Linked DNA regions of Lonchura striata. The protein of the gene in region 2 interacts with the protein of the main gene of each other region in a pairwise test. Links are inferred from orthologs where the notes say so. Each region holds a gene or a part of one and is shown on either strand. Other genes may lie near its edges.

Region 1 (7,594 bases), on a different chromosome or scaffold from region 2:
CCTTTAATAATTCTTCACAACTAATCTAACAGTCTTTAGAGTTTCCAAAATGAAATATCCTAAATATAATTATAGATCCAGATTTGCTTCTTAACCTTGCTTTATCTATATTCCATCTATACCTATATCCCCTAAAGGGAAAATCTACAAAGCCAGTGAACACTTGAGAAATAAACCAATTGAAGTATTTAAGAAATCTGGACAAACAAAAAGAATCATGATACTCAATTAGTTCTTAATTAAGACAATAATAATTAGAAGAATAAAAATAATAATCTCAATCAGGAAAATTGAGCCTTTTCTGTTTTAAAACATTTCTCCGAGAAAAACTGTAACTAGAAGAAGAAATGTTTTTTATAAGATGTATTTCTGGATCTCCAGGAGCTTCAAAGAGTTTATTTCCAAGGCTTCAGTTAGGACACTGATCCCATTATAGAACTATTTCATAGTTGGTCATGATTCATCCACCTAATGCACCACACGTATTCCACTATCAAAATGAAAGCAGCTGTGAAAATGTCTGCAATTAAATAATGAGCAGGATTTGGGAATTCTATATGGACTGCATGTCTTGAATTAAAGGATAAAAACATTCACCAGTAATGACAAATTTATTTTTAATATGTATCTTAATCAGTTTATGTTTTTCCATAAAGAACTTTTTCTTTGACTGCTAGCATTACAGTAGATGAGGATCTCTTGCACATTAATTGGACAGAGTTTCAAAAGCATCCAGTGCTCAATAGTTCCCAACAAAATAATCTGACTAAATGGATATGTCATCAGAGATCTCCTGCGAGGAAAAGAAACTGTAGGAGTTTCTGCAGTCCCTGAAAAATGGCCAGAATACTAGGCCAGGTTCAATCAGAGCTTATTAACTCTTTTCTCCTCTTGGTAGGTTTAATAAATGCCATCTTCTCCCTCCCAAATTATTCCCAGTTTACAAAGGAAAAAAGGGAAACTACGTAACATTATATTTAAGGAAAAGCTGAAACTAAACCAAGAGTTCCTAAATCATAATTCCATACGTCTGTCATAAACTTTTTCTCTATTTCACATTTTCTTATAATTCAAGAGACATCTGTCTGGCATCACATTGCATTAAAGTGTAAAAGAAGTCTTTCCTTTTTTCTAATTTTCTTAATGGTTTTGCAAAGGTGTGTTGATCCCATCTTATTAATTATCACTACTAAGCTAGAAACTGCCCTTGGGAAAGGTAGGATGGACTGAGTTGCATTTTGGGATGTGAATGATGAGGTACTTGTGGTCACTCTCACTTCCTCCACAGAAGAATTCAAGAACTCCTGATCCTGCAAGGAGAACCTTATCCCTTGGGAAAAGAGCTCCGCTTCTGATGAAGGCAGTAAAACTGATGGGAAGTGCAACATTTCTTTTATTGCAAATCTGCAAAATTCCATGTAAAGAAACTTTCTGTGTTGCAAAAATGCATGGAAATTATCATAGAAAGGAAATTATAAAGGAAATAATTATTTCTGAGATAACAGACCTCTCCTTTTTAAAAAACTGTGTGAAACTGAACTGGCTCCCTCACTTAGCACAGCTGTAGTTCCCAGTACTACCGACTTCTCAGAAGGAAACAAGAAGTTGGAATGTCTCATGGTTTGACAATGTTCAGCTGTTTAAATGCCCCCAAAGGGCTGTTACTAGCTAAGACTGGTTAGAATAACATAGAGGCTCTTCCAAACACATGGTAAGAACTGCTGCAGTGCTGGAAAGAAAAATTGACTTTTTCCTCCCTACTTTCTTGTCTCCTTCATAGAGAATAATTTACCCAGATGAAAAGTCTGGATAAGATATAGCAATTTCATTCATGTTGGAATTGTTTCTTTTATTATTTTATTTTAAATCATATTTGATGAGTGACACCAAAAATGTCATCCTTTAAGAAATGAGGACTGCATTCTACTTGGTCCTCATCAATATTGTGAGCATGTATAACTGGTGTATCTATCTTAAGCTGTCCAGTTCTGGAGGTAGTATTCAGAACCCACTCAAGTTAATGAGAAAAAGCACTTTTAACTTACATGGTCTTTGAACCATGAACAAATCTTGCCAGCTGTATGGAACAGTTTGGCACTACACTGTAGCGGTAGTCTGTACTGCTTCTGAGTGCAGACAGATGTTAATGCCAGTGAATTGGATACCACCACTCCAGGAAGAAATTCTGGACGTGCTTTGAAGCAATCTCACTGACCATCCAGTCTGGCATCGAAATCTGCAACACTTGCTCCCCTTCCTACCAAAGTCAACAGCAACACTCTCACTGAGCATAGTCCATGCTGAATGGGCACAACTGCTCTCAGTTGGAAAAGGCTGCTTTTCCTAAACTCCAGGACATGAGTACAGTGAGTCTTCGGGCAACACAAGTTTTAGCCGGGAAAATTAAGGCCATGTTTCAGCATACCTGATTTTGACTTCAGGGCAATTTGAATCGAATGCCCGTCGTTGATCACTTCGCAGTCACGACACACCACGTAGTTCGGTGACAAACGCACTTCCAGGAGCGAGGGGTCATATTTGGCTTCTCTCGAGTTCAAGTTAATGGGCGACTGGTACTCGCCGTTAGCATCGGGGAAAATCAGCCCCCACTCCACTCCTGAGGCACAAGAGAAAAGCGGTCACGGGGCAGCCGGCGCCCCGGCTGCGGTCAGACAGACCCCGCCTGCCCCCGGGGCTGCTCGGCCGGACCGGCGGCTCCGCGGCCGCCGCCCCGCGCTGCCTCCGCCCGCGGGGATGGACCTGCTGCGGGACGGCCTGGGAGCGAGCCCCGCTGCGCTCCGTGCTCCGCCGCTGAAATCCCCACACCGCCTCCTCCTCCCCCGGCAGCGGACAAAGTTTCTCCCCGGCGGAGTCGCCGCCCGCTCCTCACCTTCCTCGTAGCCCCACTCCGGAGCCTCCTCGCGGCGCGGCCGGGGCTCGGCGCCCTCGATCAGGCTCCTGTCAGCCATGGGCGGGCTGCGCCGAGTGCGAGCGTGTGCGGGGCGAGCCGGGCTGGCGGCGCTCGCTGCGCGCCTGGAGCTCCCGCACTCCGCCCCCGGGGCAGGGGCAGGGCCGGGGGCGGCCACCGGGAGCCCCGGGAGCCGGGCGCTGTCCCGGCGGCGCGGCGACAGGGAGGTGAGGCGGCAGCGGGCGTCCCCGGCGGGACGCTGCTCCTGAGCCTCCCTGCGTCCTCCTCGCCGTCCTCCGCAGCCCTCCCTAGCCCGGGGGGTTGGGTGTCTCCGCAGCTCCCGCTGCCCCTCTAGCTGGGCACAGGAGCGCTGTGCACCCAGCGGCACCCCGGGAGAGCAACTTCAACAAGGCGAAGGGCAAAGCCCGGCCACTGGGGAGGAACAATCCAGACGCCGGGACAGGTGGGGAACTACCTGACTGGAATGCAGTTTGGCATTGGGTGAGTGAGTCCCACCCACTCTGGGTCCTGGTGAGCATCAAGTTAGACATGAGCTAGCAGTGTGCCCTTGCCACAAAGAAGAATGATACCTTGGGCTGCATTAGGCAAAGCGATTCCAACAAGTCGAGGGAGGTGATCCTGCTCCTCTGCTCAGCACGGGTGAGGACACACCTGGGGTGCTCGGTTCAGATCTGGGCTGCTCCAGTACAGAGACGTGAACATACTGGAGAGAGTCCAACAAATGGTCATGACCATGGTTTAGGTGCTGGACCATCCCTTCCATGAGGAAAGGCTGAAAGATCTGGGACTGTTCAGCTGAGAAACAGGCAGGCTTGGGGATCTCACAAATAGCTGAAGGGAAAATGCAAAGAGGGTAAAGCCAGGCTCCTCTCCGTGGGGCCCAGTAACATGACCAGTGGTTATGGGCACAAATTGAAACACAGATTTTTTTGAACATCAGGAAACAATTTTTACTGTGAGAATGACTAAGCCCTGGCACAGGCTGCCCCAGGAGGTTGGGGAGTCTCCATCCATGAAGGTATTAATGTGAACACAGTCCTTGTTGTGGGCAGCCCTGCTTGAGCAGGGGATTTGAACAAGATGATGCCCAGAAGTTCCTTCCAACATCAGCCATTCTGTGAATCTGTGTTTACTCCTCACTACTGAGCACTGTGTCCCTTCTGTGGAGGAACAGAAACCCTCAGTGAGGATAAGAAAGCTATCAAATAAGGAAGGGATCCCACTTCTGCCCTTTCTGTCCTAAAGGGAGAAGTGTGGCATCAATTTCTACTGCAAATTATTCAAAAATGAAGGGTTTGAGGAAACTCTCTCCCCAAGATGAAGATGCCTCAGTTCAAGGTTATGAAAGGACTCCACATTCTCCTTTGAAAACAGCCGTGTATGGAACTAGAGAATATTCATTCTGTCAGGGGAAAAAAGGACAGAAGGGACCTCTGTTATAGAGATCTCTTCTAGGCAGTGGCCCAAAAACTTGCATCAGTGACAGGAAGGGAAACGGGAATGTAGTACTGGCAGTCTGCAATCCCTGACAGCAATCAGAAAAGGTAACAGAGGCAGTCAAATAGCATTGCTATAATGGTAAGAAGTGCCCTTTGCTTACCATCCTAGTCACTTAAAGTCAGTGACCAGACCTCCTTGAATTCTGGTATCCCAAGATGATAACATCTTGATCCTGTGCTGTTGATCCACAAGGTTTGATCTCAGTGTGAAGCTCGTTGTGCTTCAGTGATCCTCAACTCAGCAGAGTACCTGTGATTCCTGTGCAACACTGACAGGGGAGCAGAAATGATCATCAGTGTAAGTGTGAGATGAAAAAAGAAGGACTGAGATGAAACTTCATTAATGAAGCAAGAGAGTACTGGTTCATGAGCTGCATGCAAGGTGAAAAGAAAATAGGGCAAAAGAAGTGGAATTTACTGGGTTGGGATTTTTCAAGAGCAGAGAAGAAACACAGATTTCCTTCTGCAGTATCATCCTACCCAAATTACAAGATGGTGCAGTTTACTGAGGAAAAAAACCCAAACAGACATTTTTCATATATTGAGCACCTGACAACAGTACAAAGAGAAAACTCAGATATTTTTAACATGCATTTTAGTCACATAAGGTATCATGTTGTATATGCATACCCATCTCACATAGCCAACTGGCTTTATTAAGTTGTTAAGTTTTATAATCTACTCACTTCTAAAACACACACCAGCTGCTTCTATTAATGTAGAATCCTTTGAATCATTGTTCAACCACATGGGGAAAAAACAAACATCACCAAAAACTCTGGTCCATCTGACTGGAAATTCATTTTCTTCTAAAAAGGGAGTCTTATATTTTGGAAACAAACCAAATAGTCCTAGGAGGCTGGGTTCATTCCCTTAGTCCTTGAAATACAGTATTTCATTCATTCATATTCTCTATTAAGTCTTTTCCTGCAGTAACCTTCCTGTGGGATGTCTGTTCTAGAATTACATGCTTATGAGGTGCAACTCTATCATACCTGTGAGTTCCTGTCTTGCAATAAATACTTTTCATGGCTTTGCCATATATTTCTTGCCCTTCCTTTTAACCTTTCAATTCTTTCCATATTCCTCTGCAAAATTAGGCATAGCAGGTAAATCCTTGCTGAATAGTTGACATATCTTTATTCCCATATGTCTGCTGAGTAGTTTTTGTGCAAATATTCTGTTTCTTCCTTAGTATCTGTCAAGCATAGATTAGAGAATAAAAAGATTAAATTCCACTGAAGATTCCTGGGATTTCTTTAATGGTGAAGTATGTAAGTAACAAAAGAAGTCGCTTCTCCATAAGGAAATGGAGCACGGGACTGAGCCCTCATATTAAACTCCAGTGATAAATGTGAATAGTGACCTTACAAAAATGGATAAAGAATAATGTGGATATTGGCTTCTGCACAAACCAACTCATTCATTTATGGACCCAGCTTCAAATAAAAGGGCTGAAACAATCAGATGGAGATAGTGGCATGAGCTAAGATTTGTTCAAAATCAGTGGGATTTTACCTCCTTTAATAATGCAAGTGTAAAATTATTTGTGTATAAGCTCCCAATAGTTGAATTTACAATGAAAATATACTAAATATATAACTATAATACATCTAAATGCACACTTTATTCTGCAAAAGTTCATTACCCATGATGTTTGCCACATTGGCTCAACACACTGAAAAATCTAGACATATATAGTTATGGCCCCCAAGCTAATATTAAATCGTTGAGCAAAAAGTAGAAGAAGCTCAGCCAACATGAACTTCATAAGTGACATAACACCTCATCAACAGAAGCGGGAGCAAGAGATCTCTCTCCTGAATCCTGGTTCACCCTTTCATTCTGTGGAACATGCTGACTTCTTGTTTAACTGGGATTAATGATCACAGCCTTTGATAGTACCAGGAATAAAAAGCTCAGGCACAGATCCAGGGCTTAATAGTTCCTCTTTGAACTCACACAACAGTAGTTCAGAAGCAGTGTAGTCTCTGACATTCCTTTTGTCAAACAAGAAATGGCATTTTGAAACATGGTTAGAATAATACGTAATCCTGGTGAGATACCAAGCAACTATTCTTCTGTTTTCTATATCTAGATATTATTTTTTGTTCTACATTGTTTTTTTCTTTTTTCAGAAAACACATCTTCCCCAAACACCTTTAAAGGTATATACTAGGAAAAGTGGGTCTGAACCAATATTCACCATCTGAATGCTGAAAAATTTGTATGCGACAATTCTCATTAATGACTAGCAACATTTTTTTTAAAAGTTATATGTCCACAACTTTACTTACTGCTTTCATCATTCTGAAAAGGTGGAGTCCAGTGCAGAGAACTGTACAGATTACTGAGAAATCTATAGGAAAAAAGAAAAGCAGAATTATATACAAGTTATTTTAGACTGTGCATTCCTACCTGCATGATTCTTTGCAACCACAGAACTGACAGTTATTTCCTTGGTGCAAGGGATGAGAAATTCAGACTCTGGGATGATAATATTTCCTGTATTATCCACTTTTTTCTTTATTATGTTGCTGCCAACATACAGTAGGTGAGAGCATGCAGGATTTAATATTTTGATAAGGAGGGAATTGTTTTATGGCATATTAGAGCATTCCATTTGGGGTAATTTAGAGTCTATTTATGCTTCTGCAAGCCAGATCTCTGTTCTTGCCAAGGTGTCCTGAAAGAAAAGGCCTTGTCCATACAGCAAGGCAGCTGAAGGGACCTGAAGCATCTAGTTTTTCCAGTAAATAGGGCTTCCTATATTTCTTCCTGTGTTGACTATGAGGTTGAGCAGCAAATATCCACCACGTGGTCTTGTTTCTATCTTTATTTCATGCCAGATTACACTCTCAAAGAACATGAATTCTTTTCCAAGTTTAGAAGTGTAAGCACAGAGTTTCTGCATTTAAACTTTAAAGCACAAGCTTTTATGTACCAATACCAAAAATCTCTCTGCACATATTAAAAGGAACTAGTTCATTAGAAGGAATAATATTCCAGTATTTCTGGAATTATAATATTTGCCTATTTTTATTTTCCTCATCTGTGGTAATGCATTACAGAACGGAAAATTTGGTTAGGTAGTTCAAACAGTCCAAGATGAAAAGGTAAAAGGAGACTATTTCCAATAAAGAGGCCATTTATAGCAAAAATAAAC
Region 2 (7,441 bases):
TCTGTGAGTAGTAGCATTATTATTAATGCTGGCAAAAGTACTTAAAGGCAAAGTATGAATAAATGCAAGGTGTTCACATTAGCATTCTGTATGTTTGATAATGAACAGCCCCATGGACGTGCATTTGCTCTCACCATCTCCTCTGGAGCCTGCCACAGATGAAGAATGGGCAAAGTGTTGCACTGATCCTGAAGATGATTCTTGACTTTTAGGAAATGTCGTCCTACATCCTGTTGTAGCTTTGTTGTGGTTGTTGATATTGCTGGTTTCCTTTATTTCTGTAGTAGGAAGTCTGGGGGATTTGAAGCGTGTCTAAAATGCTTCTATTCATTTGTATCTTAGTGGACTTTGACTGTAATATGCAAAATAGCTTTATATAAAACAAATTACAAAAGTACATATAATTACAGAATATATATATATATGTATGTATATATAAATATATATATAATTACAAATAACCAAAAAGCTGTCACTCTACATTAAAAAAAACGAAAAGGAAGATGTTTAAAAAAAGGGGAAAATTAAATATTCCTGGCAGCTTCCCTGCAGCAGATCCACTATGCAGAAACCATGTAAAAATACTGACTTCCTCTCCCTCTATCATTATTCTCTTTCTCTACATTTATGATTTTTTTTAACTGTTTGATAATTTCTTTCTCATTCCTAACACAAGTTTCCTGAAAGTCTTGTTACTGGGTTGAGGGTAAAATCAGATTCAGAAGAAAGTTTCTATTTAGTGACTGGGCATGTGGAACTTCCCAGTAGCCTGTGAAACTTGGTGCTCCTGCTTCTTGGGCAGAGCTGTGCTTGGAGCAGCCACAGGAGGTGGTGCCCCACTCCTGAATCGCTAGATTTTTCCCCTGAAGGAAGAACCAGAAGCATCTCCTTGAAGCCTTACAGGTGGGGCAGCATCCTGCCAGTCAGCACCAGCTGTTAGCCAGTCACCCCTCCAGGCAGTGGCATCCTGAACACTTCAAGCTGCCTTGACTTGGTCACTTAATTGGATGGAGGGACAGGTTGAATTTTGCCCTCAGCTTCCTGAGCTTGTCTGCACAAGTCACTCCACTGTCCTTGTCCCTGCTGTGCATCCCCAAGTTCTATCTTTAAAGTGAGATAAAATGAGCTGCCAAGGTTTTGGGTGACTTGTCCAGGGTACCTTGATGGGTCATTTGGTCAAGCAAGGTGGGAGCAGATGTTGTTTTGTCAGCACAGATGCTGCCCTGGACAGAATGGTGTGTTCCTCAGCTCCTTGTCTCTTGGGAAAAGTCATCTGTGAATGTGCAAGAAACATGCTGGACCTTATGAACAACAACTGGAAAAGAGACAAGGGATACTGCTGTTTTATTTATTTACTCATGTGCTCCCAAAGTGGCAGTGTGGCCAGAAGCACTAATGGGGCTTTTTGAATATGGGTTCAGGAAATGCTCCTGGGGTTTCAGTCTAGGGCAAAGATGTCATTGGTGTGAGAGAAATTTTGGTCTGGGAATGAAGGTGTGTGTGTGTCCAGAAGGACTCTGACCAAGCTGTTCAGCATTTGAAGAGAGGGATGAAGGGAACCTGAAGATTATAAGCATTTCCCTGGAAAATAAAACCCTCAGGCCTTGACACACATCCTGTGGCATATAGCAGGCTGTTAACTAGGTGTTAAACTACTGAGTTTTATAGTGCATTCTTCATCACTGAGAGTTTTTGAAACCACAAGTTGATTTGTTAGTAAATGTAACTAAAATGGATGTGTTTAGTTCAAACTGGCATTCATTCAGGGAAGCCTTCTCACCTGTGTAGTAAGGCATATCAAATTGGATACTTGTGCTAGTCCTTTTGATTTATGAATTTATTAACATTTTTTTCAAATAGTGTGTTCACTGAATATATTTCACAGACTGGAAAAGATGTTCTGTGTGATTGTAAAACTTGTTGTGGTCAGCAGTTTGTAGTAATTTTTGAACAGGAATGCATTTTCCTGCAAAGTACAACTAACTTCCACCCCCTCCTCTTCGCCTCCACCCTGGCTTGTGAGTTGGTTCCAGTTTCAAATACTTAATCATGGGAATTTTTGGTGTTTTATATTCTGGATAGAATTCAGAGATTGCAAACTTTCTGTGATCCACTTTATTGCAGCAAGATTCTTTCCAGAAACATTATACTGTGTGTTGCTGTTTTGTGACTGGGGCATGTGGTAAATCTACTTCAAGAATGAGTCAGTGCCAGATTTCTATGTTGTCATGCATATAGACCAAAATAAGAAACATCTGTCCTTTTTTATTTAATTAATTGAAAAGAAATATATAAGTACAAACTATTATAGGTAATACAAGGTGATGCACAAGTGAAATAAAAAGAGCCACTTGGAAGCGTAGTCTGGAGTTTATTTTTAAAAAAGTAAATCACTAAATATTATTTACTAATAATTAATCTTGACATTTAATATTCTGCATCTCTCTAGGGGTCACCACTATTTGTCCTGTGATGATGACCTGTGTCTATGTGGAATGCTATTATCATCTTTCAGGGTCTGAAATCAATTGCAATTTTTCACCTCTGTTGAAGCTTGCTGTTGTGTTTTTACATATTGACTCCAATTCCATATTTTAGAAATTATTTTTTCTTTCAAAATGTTTTATTGCTGTGCTGTTCTTTGGGTCCTTCTTTAGAGGGACACATCCTTCCCTTCTGTTCACATTTTTCATGCAGAGCAGATTCAGCATAACTGTATGGAAACCTGTTCCTGGCCCTGAAAGCTAAAATTGGAAGTATACTTCTCGTAGGTTAGTGTAAATAAAACCCAATTAATTTTGCTTTAATAACTGCAGGCAGGATGAACCTTAGCTCAATACAAATTTTTCTATAAGCTCACAGGCAGTCCTCTCAATAAAGACAACAAAATTACTGTCATATTTATCATGCTGGGGTGTTTCAGCTCCATGGGATAAACTTGGCAGTGTTCTTCTGAGTTCTTGGAAAGCAGCCCTATACATCTCAGTTTGCAGCATTCCAGCAGATCAGGAAAAAACTATCTCTCTTTTTTCACCCTTCATATTTCATATAGTGATAGTGCTTTCCCTGAGTGCTTGTTACAGTTATTTTTTTGGAAAACAACATGCATTTTTCTGTACAATGTTGGCCGATAACACAACAAGACTATACCAGTGCTCTTCCCTTAGATTAAAAAATCTCAGTCTAAACAAGATTGAGAGAGTAAGGGTTGAGTGAAATGTTTTAGTTCAGAATTTCTTCATGAACCTAGGCAGAATTTTAATATGTTTTGGAAAAAAGCAAATTATTTATTTTGGGGGAAGGCAGGTTATAATTGTAGAAGCCTCTGTATCACCTTTAAAATATCATAAATATAACTAATATATAACTAATATAACTAAAATATAACTAAAGATTTACATAATTTTTATATTTGGTTCAAAATGCTTTGCAAATTTGATCATAAATATTTCATGTTCCTGAATGAAATAATTTCTTTTGGTTTACAGAAAACTTTGAAAAATAACTATAGTTTTTTTTAGCAGAATTGTAACCACTCAGATATTCAGTCACATGTGTCGCTCCTTGCCCTCATATTTAGAGCCTTCTCAAAATTACAGGAAGGTGTAAAATAGCAAATATTTTAAAATTTTTTTTTTCACTTTTGTTTCTAATTTTTCCTGAGCAGTGTTTGTCCTGTCTGGTACTTGCTGCCATGTGACTTCTTGTGACAATTCTGCCTTTGTGTGTGCATCAGTAACTTAAATGTTGGACACAGTGCTTTGGACTTTCGTTAAGACCAAAAAGTAATATTACTGAAAAAGTATTAGTCAGATACAATAGATAATTTTCTTCAAATTTCTACTTTATATTTGTCCTGCTGTTCTTCTAATACCTCATTAGGCACTTTTGCTTGCTCATGGAGACGTGCATTTCACAAGCATTCACTTCCTTTGCTCTTACGGTAGTTTTAGTTGTTGGTGATCATGACAAATTGAAATCGAGCAGTTGTAGCAGTTTAGTGAAGATTCAACAAGACAGGAATGTCAAGAGTGCACTAGCTTGTTTTTAGGAGCACTATCAATGCTCCCTTTATCCTGTGGGAACAGTTGTGCCTTTGTTTTGGTGGTGCTGTTTTTTGGAAGATGAGTGAATAAGAGACCATTGATACTTTTCCCCCCACAAAATCTCATGTGTGTTCTTTGCCTGGCATGCTGCTCTCTGAAGTGTAAAACTAGTGTGTCACTTGATTTTCACATATTTAAAGACCTAAAAATGGGGGAGGAGCAGTGAGTACCAACTCTGCAGGTACTACTGGATTATTTTATCCTGAGACTCATAAAATGAGGCTATTCCCTGGCAAAACCACGGAGCACCAGTGCCGGGTTCCCAGGCCTCTAACAACTAGACACGTGTTGATGAAGGATGAGGTAATTTCCAGATGAAGGGTGGACAGTGCTGCAGGAGTAACGGGGCAGGACAGCTGTGGTGGGGATGGTCTCCTCACAGGTGGCTCCCACCGTTGGGCTCCGTAGGCGTCTGAGGTAGGTCCCGCAGAGGGAAGGAGCAGGGAAGGTGGAGGAAAACAATGCGTCACTACCAGTTCGCTCTGTGCGTACCTATTTTTTTCATTCAGTTCTCCCTTTGGTTGTAACAGGACAGACTTTGCATGACAGATGGCTTATTGTTTCTCTCCTATAAGCTGCTAAAAGATTTCTGAGCAGGAACTCACAGTGTTCCTTTGGGAAAGGCACTTTGCAAGATCTGGGCACTGTCTTAAGGGACTCGAGATCCAAATCACGTAGACCATGGGCAGAAAAAAAGTGGGGGGGGCTTAATATGTAGCATTCAAAAATACATTTGCTGCTTGTACTAGACCCTCTTTAGTCTGGGATTCAGAAAACATAATGATTTCCAGATATAGCCAGTATTAAAAAATACAATGTTTTGGTGTTAAAATGTTAGTTGAAACTAATGGAAAAATACTGAAAATATAATCTTCCTGTAGAAAAAATCAATCTAAATTTACATATTGATAAGAAGCACAGGACCTTTAGAAACATCCATAATGAACCTTATGCTTTTGTAGATGGTAGAGAATGTAAGCAAATTTAATCAATTCTTTTCTAGTATTTTTTAGTTATTACAAAAATTGTGTCTAAATATAAGTATATAATAGTTGTGGAAATAAAATATACAGAATATTTCAGCTTAGATACTCAAGGTCTATCTGGTCTATACCCACAACAGCGAGTGGCTAGACCTCTGGCCCTGTATTTTAGTGCTAGAGGCCCTAAAATACAGGGCCAGAGAAGGCACACTACATAAGGAATGGTTACTCAAAATCAGGGAATATGTTCTGTGTAAATTTCTTTCAGAATTCTCTATACCATAAAGTAAGACAAGAGCCTGGCTCTGGCTGTTTCAGTTTCACAATAATATTTTTATGGATGTGGTATCAATTTAAAGCTCATCCTGTGGCTTTAATTCATCACATGAAAGCTGACTAATCTTTATGTATATTTGTGGATATTTTAGCAAGCACAAAATAACATTATGCTTAATAACAACTTATTCCTTTATTTGTTTTGTTTAAAGATATCATGAATATTGAAGAGCAAGTTTGATTAACATTAAATTTGTTTGTGGTTCTCAGGAATATCCAGTATCTTACAGAATCATGGTAGAAAGTAGTGGAAGAATAACCAGGTGTAGACTTGCAGAAGTAAACAAACCTAAATTTTTTTACCTTACGACTAAAAGAAAATGTGTTATACCTCTGGCCTGTCATTCAAAAGTTTTGGTGATATTCCTAAAAATACAGAAAAAAAACATTCAAACCTGGCCCTGTAAGAAGACAAAAGGTTACAATTTAAAAAACTCAAAAAGTGCCACCAGAAAAAGACAACTTTTGAGCAGGCTGGTGTGAGGTGCTGAACAAATGCAGAGCTGGACCCCTAAGTGTTTAGAGCTGGATCATGTAAAAGGCTACAGACAACAAGCTACTTGTTTCCTCTCAGGAATCATGTGAAAGCTTTCAAACCTTCCACAGTAGGTGAGATCTTACCTCCCTCTAAGTTAGTGGGGCTTTATACTGACTCACCTAGGAGCAGGCTTACATTCTCATGATCTGATAAAAGTAATGCTGAATGAATTAAAAATCATGTTCTCAGAGATGTTCTGGCTCGGTGTTAGACCTTTGAGTGATGCAATATCTTTTCTGTTTTCCTGTGAAGATCCATTACTTGATAAACCTCATTATTAGTTTTGGGGTATTTTTGTTATTGTTTCTTTTTCTTTAATGATTCCCATGTCAACTTCCCCAGATTTGAATGACATAAGGAGCTCCCTTGGTGACCAAATTCCTGTTAACAGTTTAAATGTGTTCGGGGAAGGGAGGAGGATTTGCACTCAGCAAAGGATCTCCAGCTCACAAGCTCTTATTTTATTCTTTTTACTTGAAGCTTCATAACAAGGATGATTTATTTGCAAATGAGTTACTTTAATAATAGGTTTAGAGTTACATAGAATATAGACAATCTTGACCCCCATCTCTGCAGCTGTAAAAGTAACAGCATGGGTGTGGTTGCCTGGTGGCTGGCCAGGATGATCCAGTTCAAGGGGGTGGATAAAATAACATTTACACTTACAGTAACTGTTTAAAAATGTAATTTGAGTTCTGCCAAATCCTTCCAGTTCATTTTGGGAATCCAGCTTATTAAGGCTGCCAACACTCAATTCTTCACACCTTAGTTTCTTCCAAGTTGTCTCCTTCTGCCAGATGCATTTTGCTGCAATACTGTCACTGCAGAGCATGAGGTTCCTCCACCAGCCTTGCTGTGTACATGGTTCTGGTGGGACTCTCCTTGCTGTGAGCCTGCCCAAGCAAGAAGTGACTGAGCCTGGCCCGTGAGACTCAGCATGGAGGGAGGACGCAATCCCAGAGGAAGTGTTCCACTTACAGACAGCTCTGTTTGTGTCTGCTGCAGTAAATGCTCCCAAGACAAGTAGGGTCAGGCATTTGTTGGATCTTGAGAAAGCATGTGGTGGAGAAGATGGAGGCTTGGAAGCTGGAACTTGTCGGTCTGAGTTGGAATTTCAGAAGTGTTCCCAGGCAGTGTGGGCAATGGGAATCAGGCACCATGTCTAAACAACAGAATGAGGTCTTGAACACTTTGCAGACCCACAGCTGCTTAAAAAGGGGCAAGTGTTGTCTGAAATAGCCAGTTCGCTCCAAATGGACTAAGTGCTCACTCTCTCAGTGTTCCTGCTAAGGCAGCACTTGTTTGAGGACACAGGGTGATCCTGCACTGTGGCTGGCAAGGCTGTCACACATAGCTTTGCTGTGTCTAGTCCTTGCAGCTCTAACCTGCCTCACCACAGTGCTGAGCAGTTGTGAAGTGCTGCAGCACTCTGGAACAAAAAGTGGAAGGCAGCAGTTATGGATAGGAATAGCAATCAC
Region 3 (7,353 bases), on a different chromosome or scaffold from region 2:
GAACCAGATGGGGGGAATTGAACCTGGAGCTGAGAGTCTCAAAATTGCAAGGGAGCTTAGTGACTGGCCATCCACAGGGAGACAAGAGTCAGATGAGGGGGTCCTGACAGGAGCTGGAATCTTCATCTGGAGCTAAATGAAGGACTGCTTTTCAGAAGAACTGAGCTGGCTTTGCCAGAAATCAAAAGAATGATTGAGTGCTCAGCATCCCTGGAACTGAGAGGGCAAGACATAAGCTGCTAAATTCAAGAAATAAGGAAAGAACAAACCCAGACCCTCTCCCAGGCTGTGTTCAGAGGCTGTAAATGCTCTGCCTCAGATATTTTGTATTTCAGGTGGGGGGTGTATGGCAGCTTGAGTGGCCAGTCCCACAGGCAGTGCTGTCCTCAGGGAGCAGGATGTCTGCCCTGCCCTTTGCACTGTGCATCTGGCAGTGTGTGCCTGATTTTGCTTTAAATCACACACTCTCTGCTCATGAGCCACCCACGATGGGCTGTTGGACTTATGGCACCCATTCTGCTCCCTCCTGCCTGTCCCTGGCCATTCATAATGACAAATCTCAACCCTTTTCCTGACCTTTTGACTCTTCAGCTGGGCAGTGTGTGGAGCTTGCTCCAGGCTGCTTGTGAATCAAACTCCCAGGAGAGTTTGTGAGATGGTGCCACAGAGGCTCCTCTCCACGTCTGTCCCATGGCAGTTTTGCCCTGTGTTGCCCAGGCTGAAGGGACTCTCCTGCCTCTGGCTCTGCTGGCCAGCCCTGGTCAGCCACACTCTTGAGAAATCTTAGTGGAGATGTCGACCTGGCAGATGGAGGCCATTACCTCATTCCACAAAAATGCTTTGTTATTGAGAAAATGGAAACTGTCTGAGGTTTGGGAGCTGAATAGAGTCATTGGTGTCTGTTTTAACCGCAGTTTAGTGGTGACTGCTCAAAAGTTCCCCTTTCTGAGCATTCCCTTTTCCTACACCCATAATCTTCAAGCCATTGGAGAGCTGTGATGACTTAACTCATTAGCTGAGCAAAAAATGTTGAATGCTGCTGCACGCTCTGCAGAAACTTCACTAAAACCTCAACATCTTCCAGCAAAACAAAAATGATGAGCCAAGAAATAACCCTTTGCAAGCTGTTGGCCAGATAAGTGATCCCTATGGATACTAAGCCAAATTCAACCCTTTTTACAGTTTCAGCTGTGTGTCTTGTTTACTTGACTTTGAAAAGCTCTATGGAGATTATGCAGGAACTTCTTCAAGAAAAAAGACATACTTGGGCACTTAGGTTTGTAATTCTTAAACACGGGTATCTGAACCCCAGTCCTGAAGAGAAATTTCTTTTCATCAATTTTTAAAAGCACATTTTAGCATTGTGGATTTGAGAGCATAGGGGAAAGAATAAAAATAGGGATTGAAGTGTTTGCAAGCTAGTTTTTGTATTGCTGTGAATAATGACTGGGCTTAGTCCAGAAGAGCATTAACCTAAACACAGGCCTTGTTTTACTTAACAGATATTTGTGAAACTGGCATCTGATACCTCTTTTTGAGAACCTTCCATAAGCATTAATCACCAACACCCTAAGAGAACCAAGAACAACAGCTTTTTGGAAATAAAATGAATGCTTTATTTATGTATTTTTAAACTAATTAATCTTGGCATGCCAAATGAATGTCTTCCAGCTGCTACAGATGGTTTTCACATGACTAAATATTTTGGTGTGTAGAAAAACCTAAAATAGTGGAACCACAAGATATTAAGTATTTAATTATTACCCTGGAATGTAAATATGACCTTGATATTTTAAATTTGTTTGCCCAAATTTCAAGTGTTCTCTTAGAAATCCATCAAACAATGCAGTTCTGATTTGTTATCTGTGAAGCAGAGTGACTACTCAGCATCTTCTCCAAATTTATTTAAATATCAGAGTGGGTTTTAGAAGCAGGAATTTGCTTAACTGGAAAAATAATCCCAGCTGCTTGAGGCAGAACCCAGGCTCAAAGTTTGAAATGTAGTGGACTAGTTCTGTCCTAGATCCCTGCTTTCAGGTTTAACCATAAAAATCCTTTCTAGGCTCAGCTCTGCCTCTTAAGGTCTTGAGGGGGTTTTTTAATATAAAATACAAATTGTAAAAACAATTAGCAGTTGATTTTTTGGCCTGTATCTTACCGATTTAGAACACATTCTGGCCATGTGTTGTTCCTGTATCTGTAAAGCAGCCTTATTTCTTGAATGATCCAAGCACACAAGATTTCCTCCATGTGAGTGTATCACAGGTAATTTCTGTCATGGTTCAGGACTGTGTGGTTGCAGATCACACACAACCTGCATGTACACTCAGGCTTCTTGTGAAAAATGTCTTTTTGTAGTTCTTCTAATGAAACAAAATAAAGGGAATAATATAAAATATGTATCTGAAAGGCCTAACCTTCAGCACAGTTGAAGACAGAAATTCCTCTCTGAGGTCCACACCTGATGGCACTGTTCCTGGATATTGCTCAGGATGGGAAGACAACAAAAAATCAATGGGTCCTAAGCTGCCCCTGAGTGCAAGGACTGCATTTGTCACCATCATGAGCCCCAGTACCAGCCTAAACTCCTGATTTCTGCCAGGCTTTTGACCTCACCTTGGAATTCCAGCACCCTCATTTAAGGAAAACTGGCTTTTTCCTTTCTTAAAAACGAACCCATTTGGAACTGGTGCATAACTTCCTGCTGCTGCCCTATCCCAGTTCTGCCTGCCAGCTCAGCTGCTCCCTGCTGAACCCCAAGTTTGAATAGCAAGGGCAACTAGCAGAGGCATGGTGTTGGTTGGGAGATCTGGACTCTGGAACAGCACAGCACTTTGTCTGTCTGCTACAGGGTTGGAAGGCACCTTAAAGACCATGTCCCTCTCTTCCTTCTCCTCCTCCCTTTTCTCTTGCTTCTCCCAGGGTCAGGGTTGTGCAATCTGTAGATGCAGGTCTGTACCCCACGTTGGTGGGTGTCACAGTTTCCACTGACAGGGATATGTGCTGCATCTCAGGAGGAGAAGAAAGATGGGACTTGGGTCTTGGTTCCATTTTTAGTTCTACAGGCCATGCCTAGTGCCAGAACTCTCTGAGGTGCAAATCCCAGGAGGGAGATAGCATTACTCCCTGACCTGTGGGTAATACAAGGGTAAATAATGTTTTTGCTGCTGACAGCTGTTAGGGAATTGAGGAAGCCACAATCCAGTGAGAGGTGTGGGGTGTCAGCTCTGGAAACTGAGGACTTTTTTGCATTAATGATCTTGCACTGGATCATCACATTTGTGTTACTGGCAGTAGAGAATCGGGGAGCTAAACTGCTTCACAGGTAAATCTTTAGTTTGTTTCCTTAAATTTGGATTATTTATGCTCATCTGCCTCTTGGCACATGGACATTTTCAAAAAGAAAGGGCATCATCTAAATCTAAAGGCATTTCAGTGGCTCCCTTTAACTCAGTGAACAGTTGACATTAAGAAAACTGCTGAGTGCCTAACTCAGAACATTCTGGAATACATAGACTGGTAGTGGTACTCACCAAGAGTCATTAAAAGCAAAAAGTGCACAGCGTGTTTTGCATCTATCTCAGCCAAGAAAAGTTTTATTTCTGCTATTTCTCAACCCTAAGCAAACACCATATAACTCACAGAAAGATTAAATCTGGCCCGGTGTGCATGTGTAGAAGTGTTGGATGTGTTGCTTTTGGAGAGCCCAGAGCTGAGTGTGGGAAATCATAACTGCACGTCAGGTTGGTGAAGGTGCACGGACTGTGTTGTGCTTCCTGCTGTGTGAAACAGTAATAACTACAGCATGATTAAATAATGCTTTCAGGTCCTTGATAGCTTTGAGTTTTAATTTTGGAATATGTAGAGCAGAACTTTGAATAAGAATGGAAGAGGGCAATGTAGAAACCTTGAATAATTATTAGATCAGGCTGTGTGAGCCACACTGACCCTTTCAAGTGACAATCCAGGTTCTGCTGCTCTCTGCTGCTCACCTTGTTAGCACCTGACTTGGTAAGTCAGGCTGATAATGATGATGAGTTTTTCACTTTATGTTAGGAGTTTTGCTTCTTCTCTTCTCTTCTCTTTTGTTTTTGTTTTTTTTTTTCCTGTCATCATGATGTTCAGCAATATAAAGGCATTAGAAGTAAAATATGTCTACACAAAACTGGAATCACGTCTCTTGTGAAAATTTAGAGTAACTTTTAATGCAAGTGTCCAATTTCTAGTCACAAGTAATGACATTTAAACCCCTGTAGGAAACACAATCCCTGTGCTGATGTCACCCTTGGTTTATGATGTGAGTGCTTTTGTTGCTGGACAAGCACTTGAGTGTTTGCTGGTGAAGTGATGATTTACTGGTGAGAGTGTCTGGCTGGTGGCACCTGCTGTAGCTGACTGAGGTGAGGGGCTGGAGGAGCACCTTGGCACAGCTGGGTCCCTGCTGCTCCACTGCTTCCAGCAATGCAAGGTAAGCGAATTGGGCTGAGCTTTTATTTCCAGGGTTTGCCAGTTTGGGACAAATGGCTTGTAAATGGAGCACTCTTGTTCTGATCAGCTCCAGAACAGAGGGAAGGGTTGTTGGCATTGCAGTGAAGCCCTTGATCCTTGGGTTGCTTGGGCATGTGAACAGCTTTGGGAACTTTTTCCCAATAGTCAGAGTGCACGTTGCTTCTGCTTCCATCATCATCAGTGAGTGTGGAGCACCTTCCCTGCAGCAAAGAAACAGGCATTGCTTCACATCTGCTGCTTCTAGGGCTGAGACAGCAGCTCTTCTTGTTCTTCAGCTGAAAGTTGCCAAGAGAGGAGCCTGTTAGTGAAAATTCTGTTCTTTCTGATCCTTTTTAACTTCTGAGAGACGTGCTTCATGTAGGTGCCCTTGTAAATCTCAGATGGGAATCAAAGAATGATGTTCTGTAAAGGAGCCACGGACCTGGATCAAGGACTCTTGATATTGTTACTTCTTATCTGTTCATGTTGGATTTTTTTTCTGTAAATAAACAGCTTTTCCTCTCTTTCTGAGATTTTAGGCAGTCCACATTTTTACTGAGCTGCGTGCCAGCAGCAGCTCCAATTCTGAGATTGACATGTCCAGTGGAAACTCCATGTGTAGCTGCATGATATAAAGGCATTCATACACTTTGTGGGCACTTGTGTTCCTTACAATACCTGTTTCCATATAATCTTTTGGACGTGGCACAGTTTTCCCTTTTATGGGTGCCACCAAAGATTATCTCTGCACAGCAGAAACAGGAGCGCATGTTGCATCTTGCAAATTTCCTTTTAGCGCTTGCAAGGAGTTATTTTGTAGAGATGTTATGCAAAATACGTAACAATTGCAACTGATGGCTTCTATTATTTAAATTTTGCAGTACTGAAGAATAATTTTAAAGGTGTCAGTGAGAATGGTTTGAAGAGAACCAGCTCGTGAAAGTAAATGACACGTTCTGGCCAGATTACCTGGCAGAGAAGCCTTCAGTCACAGAAGGGAGCTGAAGGAGCTAAAACTAGTTAGGCCTTATTGAACTGGCCCATGTTATATTCATTTCACTTCTACACTGCCTAGGAGGTGTTCTCTTCCCCTCTCAGCCATCCCATGTGTCCCCTTTGCTCGGCTGTGCTGCCCTTGAGAGCGCTGCCCTGTTTGGGGAGGGCTGCAGCTGGCACACACAGCATCTCCCGGGCAACAAATGATCCCAGTTTTTGTTTGGGAGAACCATCAAGCTGTTCCCAGGGTGGTAACATGAGACAATTTGTCTTTTGCCAGGACTCAGTCCTCCCCCAGATTTAGAAGCTGCTTGCATGCTTCGTGCTGCAGGCCTGGCATTGCCTTTGCTTGCAAGGGACACCAGCAGCTGTAAAAAGCACTTTACAGGGAGTCTGTCCGTGTTCTTGGGCTAAGAGCCAGCACAGGTGGGGAGGCCTCGGGGATCTGTGGCAGAGAGGGAGTGCAAAAGTGTCTCCTGTCACCTTCCTGGCTTTCTCTTCCCTCTGCGGATTTTGGAGAGCCCCAAAAGGCACAAAACTCAGATGCACGTTACCTCTCTCCATCAATAGATCTGTTTATATGCAAGAAACCAACTGCAAATACTTGTGTTTGAGAGGCAAAGAATCAAATCGGAAGAGGGAGTATTTTGACCAAATTTGGTGAAAAAATTCACTTTGCCCTTTAAGTAATAGGCGTGCATTAAATAAAACATGTCTGGGATATGTGCCTTTTTCTGCTACTGGAAGTCAAAGTTGTTTTGTTTATTGAAAAGAAACATGAAGCTGAGCAGAGCCTTAATCAGCAAAAGAGCTTTCAGGCTTGTTGGGGAAACAGAGAATAGGGGACTGGGCTCAAATTGTACAGGTTGGTTTTCAGCACGTGAGCAAAACACACAATCACTAGGGCTGTGTCCAGTGCTTGAGGCAGTCCCTTGATTGCCTTTTTGGGCAAAACAGAGACATGATCTCGTAAGGATCTTTTATTATGGACTGCAAAAAGCTTTGTAAATACTAACTTAAATTATGTATCAACTCAGAAATAATAATGGCTTCATCCTCAATTTAAAAGGAGCTGTCTCTAAGGGAATGAAAAGTGCAAACTACAGTGTAAGGATTCAGTTGTGAGAACTTCAGGGAAATAGAGCGGAATTACATTATATACATGTAATATCTACATTGAGATGCACAGGCCCCAAGAAGTAGCAACTAGAGCAGTCAGATTATTTTTTCTGCATATAGGCTGTGATGTCTGTTTGAGTTGCAAGATTCTTGTGTGCTGAGCTGATCCAAGATGAAGGTACATTGGCCTCAGTGTGCAGTTAGTCATTTCCTGTCACGCTTTCACGTTTGAATTCTGTTGTACTGCATATGACCTTTATTATGTGGGGCAAAGAGATCTTGAAAGCACGATTGCCAGGAATCCTTGGATTGTTAAGTTGGATAAGCAGTGAGGCATTGATATGGCTGTGGGTTACACGGGCATAAACCAATTCAGTCCAAAATTAAACTTTCAATGCTAGATTGAATGCTCACAACATGCTTATTGAGAGTAATTGCACACCTGTCCCTTGCTCCTTTTTAAGAGCTGACAGGAGCAGCCCTTTCCCTGGGCTCCTCCGATCACACCAAAGCTCCTGTGATCAGTCACATTCCCTGAAACTTGGCTTCAGCATCTTTCTTCCTCTTATGGCCACTGTGACCATGTGTGCAGCTGCTGCCCTCAGCCAACCCCTGCCCAGTGGCAGCTGTGCCCGGCTGCAGTGTCCCCTGCTTGTCACTGCACGTGGCAGGAAAGGTACCTGTCACGAGGAGCCTCTCTTTTCTCTGCAGCCTCCTCAGAGACAAGCCACAATCTCTCCTGGCATGGTT
Region 4 (7,428 bases), on a different chromosome or scaffold from region 2:
GCATTAGGCTTCTTCCCTTTCCTATAAATTGCTCCTGTCTTTTCACCTGTGTGTGTATCAGATCCCCAAGACAACCTGTAAAGTCATCAAGTTTTCTCTTATGAAAATGACTGTGAAACACAACTTCAAAAATGCATTTAAGTATTGTGTTTCCTTTCAGGACAAAGAAAAAAAAAAAAAAAAAAGGCGCAGACTTTCATTTACAGGGACATCCACCTTTAGTGATGATGTTTGTTACCAATCATGCTAAACTGAGGTCAAAATGTCAAAAATGTCAGTACCCAAGCAGTTCCTACAAAACCCATAAACCCCAAACTCACTCAAGTCCACTAGAGGGTCAAAGGGTTGATGAGTTTCCTTAGAAAAGGAAACATACGACTGGGCTGCCAGCAAGACTGGACACTGCAAAAGCTAAAAGCTGGGTACTATGAACACATGCTCTAAAGCTATCCAGAGGGAAAAAAAAACTACATATTCTACACAGAAGTCACATAGTTTCAGTTCTCCACTCTAACACACAATATGCCTGAATCCTGACCTGAAAGGAAAAGGAAGGAACCCTACAGCAGCCCTTGAACCCTGACTCTGTGGGGGTTCAGTTGCTAAACTGGCAGTAACTGACACTTCACATTCTGACTCCAAGTAAAAAGAGATTCCAACTCAAATTAAACTGACTTAAATCTAGTATTTCCCTGGTTTGCCAACAGCCCTCTTTTCAAAGGTAAATTCAGGGTGGCTCAAAACTTTCTTCCCTAATATTACTACTGCCATCACTTCTGGGACAGAACTGAGTAAATCTGACACATTCCAGAGGAAAACATAATTTTCCTAAGAAGTCACGTACAGCTCATTCCTGACAAGAGAAAACTAGAACCCTTTTATGTGATTAGACTACAAAAGAAGTGGTGGTAAACTTTCATAAGGTACTGAACCAGCACACTGGGAGGCCCAATATTTTATACAGGTTATTTATGAAGTAAGATAGTTGTTAGTGGTTACAAATATTTTCACAACTTAAAGGGATGTATGTAACAAATTGAATCCTAATGTATTAAAGGTTCCAGGATAATATGCAAAAAAAAAAAAAAAAAAAAAAAAAAAAAAAAAAAAAAAAAAAAAAAAAAGAAAAAAAAAATTTTTCATGCAAATATCCACAGACTTCACAAAGAATCATGGAAGCACTTCTTTTACTCATGCAAAACCCCTGACCTAAAAGAGAAGCAGCCACTATAATTAAAGACTTTACAGAAAATGAAATAACACTAATTTTAAGGCACATCAAGTGTTGTGGCAATGCTTTGGCCAGTGTTCTATAAGTAACTGTATATAAATCTGCATACTCAAACTCACTCACTAAACTCCAAAAACAGCTGTGGTCTGATCTATCTCAGACTTGCCAAAGCGCTTACTCCAATGTCCTTGTGTTAAACTGAGCTGGAAATCTCTTAGCAGAAAAACACCAGAACCCTCCTCTCTGTGAAAAAAAAAAAGACCGAAAGTATCTTTTAATTTCAGGATGTTAAATGTCGGTGTAAGATAAAGCAATGATCCAACTATCTCCCTCCACAGCTGACAAGAAACCGAATGTCAAAGTGCATTGCAATGTATAGCAAAATATTCTTTAATCTGCCAGTGGCAAGGGAAAACACGAGGAAAAGGAAGTGGGAGAGAAAAAAAAAGGAAAAAAATGGAGAGAAGACTCATTAATTGAGATCTAGCTTACTATATAGCAGAACCCACATTATATTTTTTTGCTAAACCTTGAGAACTACTCATGATCTGAAAATGCCACTCTCAGAAATTAGTTCTAACTTTCTCTTTAAAAAGGCCTGGCACGAATGCCTTATTACTGTCAACGCTTAAAAAGCTCGAAACTCACTCTAGTTACGCAGTATAACACCATTGTGTTTACTGCTGTCATTGTCAAAAGAAAAAAAATCACATCAAATCAAACCTGCAAAAGCCTTTTGCAAGCCAAACCTTCTTTAAATAACAGATTCAAGAGTATCAAGCACTAGGCCTTTACAGAACCACACAAACAATTGCTGTAGCACTACGTAAACTTGGCGAGTGTGGTCCAGCACCATGGCTCACCGAGATCACCCGCTCGAGTGCCCAAGTCCCCCAAAGGGCAGCGTTTCCAATCCCATTTCCTATCACGGTAAACCCAGGAGCGCAGCTGAGACAGATCTTCCCCCCTCTGCCATCTTTCCAGTAAGTCCAGAAGGAGCAATGACAACCAGAAGGGCAGACAGAAGGACAACCAGCCCTGCCAGGGCCACCGAGACCTTCGTGGCTCGCAGCGGGGAGGGTGCCACGGGTCCCGCCGGGTAAATAAGGCGGCTGGCAGAAAATAATTAAGGGGGCAGGGTGGATGCAGGCCTTAAAATTGCAAGCAAGGCTCAGAACTAGTTACACATGGACGGTGGAAAAGCTAAATAAAACAAATAATTTAAAAACCCGTAAAACGCTCAAAACCCACCACCTCGCCTTGGGGACAGATAAGCCTCCAACTACCCCCGCCCCCACACGAGAATCCAGGGGGGCAAATCTCCACAGATGGAATTTTAGCTCCCCCAAAACCGCCACTCCAACACACCCCCCGAACCCCTCGGCCTACCCCGCCCCCAACGCAGGCCTTCGGCTTCCCCCACCGCCCCCCGCCGTGCCGACCCCCCCTCCCCCTTACCCGCCGCGGTCTCGGTCGCGGCCCCGGTCCCCGAAGCCTCTCATCGCCCCCGGAGGGGTGGGTGAGAGGCAGCGGAACGCCGGCCGTGGGGACGGCGAGGGACTGGGGGTACGGGGCGAGGGTCCAGCCAGGGGCGGCTGCGCCTCGGAGGCCTCGCTTTGCGCCACCTCGCCTCTTTGGTGGGACACAAAAGGAGAAGAGGTGGTCAGAGGGTCCGAGACCCGCTGGGCGTCAGCGGCCGGAACGGCGGGGCTCTCGGTCGGCTCCAGGGCCCGGGTAGTGTGGCGACACCAGCGTCTTCTTGCTCCGCGCTCCCGGCACAAAATGGCCGCCGCCGCCCCGGCCCGCTCCGCTTACGTTACGGGCAGCCTGGCGCTGCGCAAACTCCGGCCCTCCGAAACACCTACGCCTATTCTCGGAACTCAACTACGCACTAAGCGCGCTCGGCGAAACACCGCCCCGTGCAGTAGCAGGCGGGCTACGAAAGGTGCGTAACGTTCTTTACTTAGAGCCGGGGCCCCGCGTGAGGAAGGCGGAGGGGAGGAGTAACGCTATTCCCCAAAGTCAGCTGCGTAAGGAGCTCTCCGTAACCCCTTCTGCAGGGCAGAGAATACCTGGGCCGAGGCGCACGTTACGTAAGTGCACGGCGTACGTAAGGTGCGTAACTGAGGGTAGCGTAGGGCGGGAAGAGCCCGGTGCGCTTGGCGTAGGATTCTTACGCGGACCGTGCAGGCTGGGCCGGAGGGTTACGCTGGATTCGCAGACGGTTTGAAGAATACGGCCCGTCGCCTTCTCGCCCACGGGCTCCGCCGAGGTGGCGGCGGGGTTGAGGACACGATGATGGGACAATGGCGGAACAATAATGGGACGCTGGGCGACGGGGCGGGAGCGGCCCTTTGGACCTCTGTGGCGGCTCCGGCGGCCGAGGTTATTCCCTGTAAGATTAGCAGGGGGATCTCGGCGCGGCGCGGGGGCAGGAGCAGAGTGACAGCAGCCATGATGTTTGCTGTCGCCTGAGCGCCGGCAGGCCGCGGCAGAATTCCCCACATGAGCCAGAGACTCCTCGCTGAAAGGCAGAATCATCCACGAGGCGATTACGTGGCACAGACCATAAATCCTTTTGTGTTGTGTATGCGGTATTGCCAAGTCAGTGTGTCCTGGCACAAGGAGATGGTGGGGTTAGCCCAGCCAAACCCAGCCCTGGCCCACACCGTGTTTCACTATCAGCAGTAATTTCTGGGCTGACAGGTTATCGAAAGCTGCTTATACTGGCAGAAGGGAAAAACAGTCCCCTTTACTTTCAGACCCATGGATAAAAATAACAGCCTAGAACGACACAGAAATTACCATTTTAGTTTCACATCGTATATACATATGTATGTATGTATCACATGTTTGAGAAAGCAAAAAGCAATCTGAGTGCTTAAAATAAAATGCAAGAGAAACCTGGGTCTTTTAAGTGGGTGGCACAGAGTCAAGTGACACTGCATGCTCTCACTGACACTGGGTACTTGGCCGCTGGATAAAAATGCCTAGTGTGGGAAAGCCTGGCACATGCAATGGACTGGACATTGCATTAAATGGCAATGACTGATCCATTCCTGGCGCTATCAGATGAAGCAGCTTCCCAGCCTACAGCTCTCTAGACTTTTCTCCACTGTGAAAAACAGTGCTCTACCTCAGGAAAAATATCAACTATCTGTTAAGAAACCACTTAAGGAAGGCAAGCCCTCTAGGTCTGTCACAAGGAAAAGCCTGGTTAAAATGTCAGGCTTCTTTTCCATTAATTTCTGGTCATTGCTACCTTTTTACTTGATGTTATCTTAACTTGCATTTGGTAACCTAAACAAAAACATTATTTTGCCAGTGAGGACAATTTCTTTGACCAGATACCAAAATTAGAATCACTGTAATTACCAGAGGACAAAGCAAGACTTCTCCATTATATCCATGTGTGTGTATGTATGTTTAATTATAATTATTATTATTATTGTTTAATTTATAGAAAAGCAAGGGATTCCATGAGCATTGGTGATATTGCAAAAGGAATTGTTATTTTGGCCCCCAATGCCCTGTTTGCATCTTTATTCCCAGTTTCTTCTTTTGCCCCCTGTGACCTACATCTCTGGCTACTTCAGAGCTGTGCCTGTGCTGCTGGCTCCCTCAGCAAGCTGAATCTTAAGTGCCTTTTCCTTGGTAAAAGTGCTGGTGCCAGCCTCTCCTATTTAGCCACTGCATTTGTTTTATTCTTTTTAATAGTAACAATATTTACTATTACTTAATACTAATCTTTAATAGTCTTACTTATCCTAGAAGAATGACAAGTCAATTATATCAAGTTTATTTCTTTAGAGAACTAGAAAAAGGTTTTAATGTATTGGGTTTTTTTTTATAATATATTTTTCTCATGAAAGATCAATGAGATTTTTGAGAGTGGAGTTTAATGCGAAGCACCCAAACATAGTCAGACTTCTGTTCTACTTCATAGTCTTTATTTTTAACTTTAATAAGAACAGGTTTAAAACATTCTGTCCAAAAAGTAGAAAATGCTAAATAAAAACATGAACATTATTTAGTCAAGATAAAAATGTTTAAAAACATATTCTCAAAACTACTTGTTCCTCTACAGTACGTGAAAATCTGTCAAGTTATTGAGCTGTTGTTCCTCCCACTGCCTTTTCCATCTATATATGTGAATTTTATAACTGAGATTATTCTAGTTCTGTTGCATTTCACACTATAAATTCTACCACTTAGACACTCTCTTTGAAATAAATTAAGAAAGAGTATATTCACTCCCATGTGAAAGGACAGGTTTGATTTTCACAAAAGATAGGAAAAGGATTCTAAGAACAATTCACAATCTAATGGCTTAAATATTTGCATGCCAAAAGTTCAATTGAAAAACAAAAATCCTACATGACCAAAATTTTAGTTCAGTAAAACTGAACTGTACAAAATCTATCCCAGTGTTCTCCCAAAATATCTTAAATATCTCCCAAAAGCTACAAATGCAGCCATAGGTAGTTGTCAAGCTTTCACAAATCTTCATCACAGCTTCCCTGCTGGTTTTTTAGTACATTTACATTACATTTTTTTACCTATTCTTTGGCATCCCCAATCCCTCCAGCAGTTATTGCAAATGTGGCTTCATTTTCAGGCATCTCAGGGCTGGGCGAAAAAGATACAAGAAACTTGTGGGTTTCTCCATATAAAATGCAGTTGTGAAACAGTCTCCAAAATGCTGTGGGTGTGAGCGACCTGGAATACCTCAGTGCCTTTATACCTATGTGCAAACTGTAGAATCTGATCGATATCATCAGGATCAGAAAATGCGAAATTATTGTGTCAGGAAAACTTAGGAATTTAAAATGTCCAGAATCTTCCTGCCAAGGGACTACCAGTCCTACCAAAGCTTCATTAAGAGCTAAGCATCTAGTAGGATTTATGATGAAAGATTATGTTATTTAACGTATGCAAGGTGCAAGACAACTTTAATCAGTTGTTTAATCTGTTAATTAGTTTGTCCTTTCAGATTTTCTCCCAATGTACCATCCAGACAGTTTCAATACCTTGAACTTTGTCACCTTCTCTCCCGTGAGGGAAAGGTGGTTTACCTGTCATAGATCTTTGCAATCCGCAGCTCCCCTCTCCCTTTCCTCAAACTGATCCTGGTAGTCGAAGCATGAGCAAGGATGTGGCCCCCGATGGGCTTTTTTGGGTCTGCCTGAAAGCTGAATTAGCAAGAAAATTGTGGTGATTCACTGTGCAAATTCCAGAGGTTAAAACTGTGCTTAACTGTCAGACTGAGCCCTATTCAACCCAGTAACAAATAATCAATAGGGAAATACTTTAGAAACTTGACTTTTGCATACTTGTCTCAAGATAATATGTTCATATGTTCAATGCTGGCATAATTTTCCTGTCATTACATATAAGAGGCTCCAGAAATACACACCTTAAATATCACATATGAGCTGCTCCAAAGGAAAATGTGGTGCTTTTTCAATATTTTTTATAGCTCATTTTCTTTGTTTAAGTCACAGTGAAATCACACCACCATACCAGGCAGCAGATAAACACAAAAAAGCTCATTCCAAAAACTGAGAGAAACTTCCAAAGGTCATTTATGTATTAATTCCTAATATCAGAGGAAACAATGACCAAACTGATGTTTCATTTCAGTGTCTCTTGCTCCTTACAATCTCAGTTCTCATTTCTGTTAAATACATAATACAAAGTACAGGATTTTTTTTTTAAGAGAGAGAAAAAGTATTTTACGTCATAGTTGCTCCTGGGTCAGCAGTCATCTGGTTGGTCACAAACACAGCCACATTATATTCTGCAAGAGAAGACATTTCAAAGAAAGTAGACTTCATCCAATTAGAATTCCAAAATATTCTCTCATCCATGGTAAAAGCAAGGTTTCTGCTGAAGCACTCCAAATTTTAAGTGAACGAGAAGAAAATATTCTTTATGACTGATGGCTGCAGTTAATCACGACACAGCCTAATTTGCTCTTGCATGGCTTCAACTGTAATACACCAAAATTGAGCACTTTTTACAATTCCACTGAACAAGTCTTTCTCAGTTTCCATCTATTCTCTGCTGGCTCCCTGCCCTCAGCTCTCTCTTCTTCCCTTTCTCTGTTTGAATTTTTTTTTTTTTTTACATCAGGAAAAAAACATTTATTAATTCCTCATCAACATTTCTGAGACATTCCAAAGAGAAGGAACTCT

Evidence for each region.
Region 1: the proteins of LNX1 (region 2) and CA8 interact in binary tests that used the Homo sapiens proteins (3 or more experiments, as listed by UniProt). The two-hybrid records come from large-scale screens. The link is inferred for Lonchura striata from reciprocal best matches to the Homo sapiens genes LNX1 and CA8.
Region 3: the proteins of LNX1 (region 2) and FHL3 interact in a two-hybrid assay, tested with the Homo sapiens proteins (2 studies listed by BioGRID and IntAct). The link is inferred for Lonchura striata from reciprocal best matches to the Homo sapiens genes LNX1 and FHL3.
Region 4: the proteins of LNX1 (region 2) and DDX17 interact in binary tests that used the Homo sapiens proteins (3 or more experiments, as listed by UniProt). The two-hybrid records come from large-scale screens. The link is inferred for Lonchura striata from reciprocal best matches to the Homo sapiens genes LNX1 and DDX17.

The regions. Positions count from the first base shown.
Region 1 is NC_134603.1:37,466,754-37,474,347, reverse strand, and holds the start of CA8 (carbonic anhydrase-related protein), read right to left. Parts: upstream 3,017-7,594; 5' UTR 2,970-3,016; coding exon 2,891-2,969; intron 2,618-2,890; coding exon 2,426-2,617; intron 1-2,425. UniProt on the Homo sapiens protein: Does not have a carbonic anhydrase catalytic activity.
Region 2 is NC_134606.1:26,799,717-26,807,157, reverse strand, and holds the start of LNX1 (E3 ubiquitin-protein ligase LNX), read left to right. Parts: upstream 1-4,426; 5' UTR 4,427-4,523; intron 4,524-7,441.
Region 3 is NC_134628.1:4,832,459-4,839,811, reverse strand, and holds the start of FHL3 (four and a half LIM domains protein 3), read left to right. Parts: upstream 1-4,337; 5' UTR 4,338-4,461; coding exon 4,462-4,468; intron 4,469-7,353. UniProt on the Homo sapiens protein: Recruited by SOX15 to FOXK1 promoters where it acts as a transcriptional coactivator of FOXK1.
Region 4 is NC_134607.1:23,793,620-23,801,047, forward strand, and holds the start of DDX17 (putative ATP-dependent RNA helicase DDX17), read right to left. Parts: upstream 3,020-7,428; 5' UTR 2,734-3,019; coding exon 2,690-2,733; intron 1-2,689. Other genes in the region: DMC1 (meiotic recombination protein DMC1/LIM15 homolog), read right to left, coding at 5,791-5,860, 6,307-6,423, 6,971-7,031. UniProt on the Homo sapiens protein: As an RNA helicase, unwinds RNA and alters RNA structures through ATP binding and hydrolysis.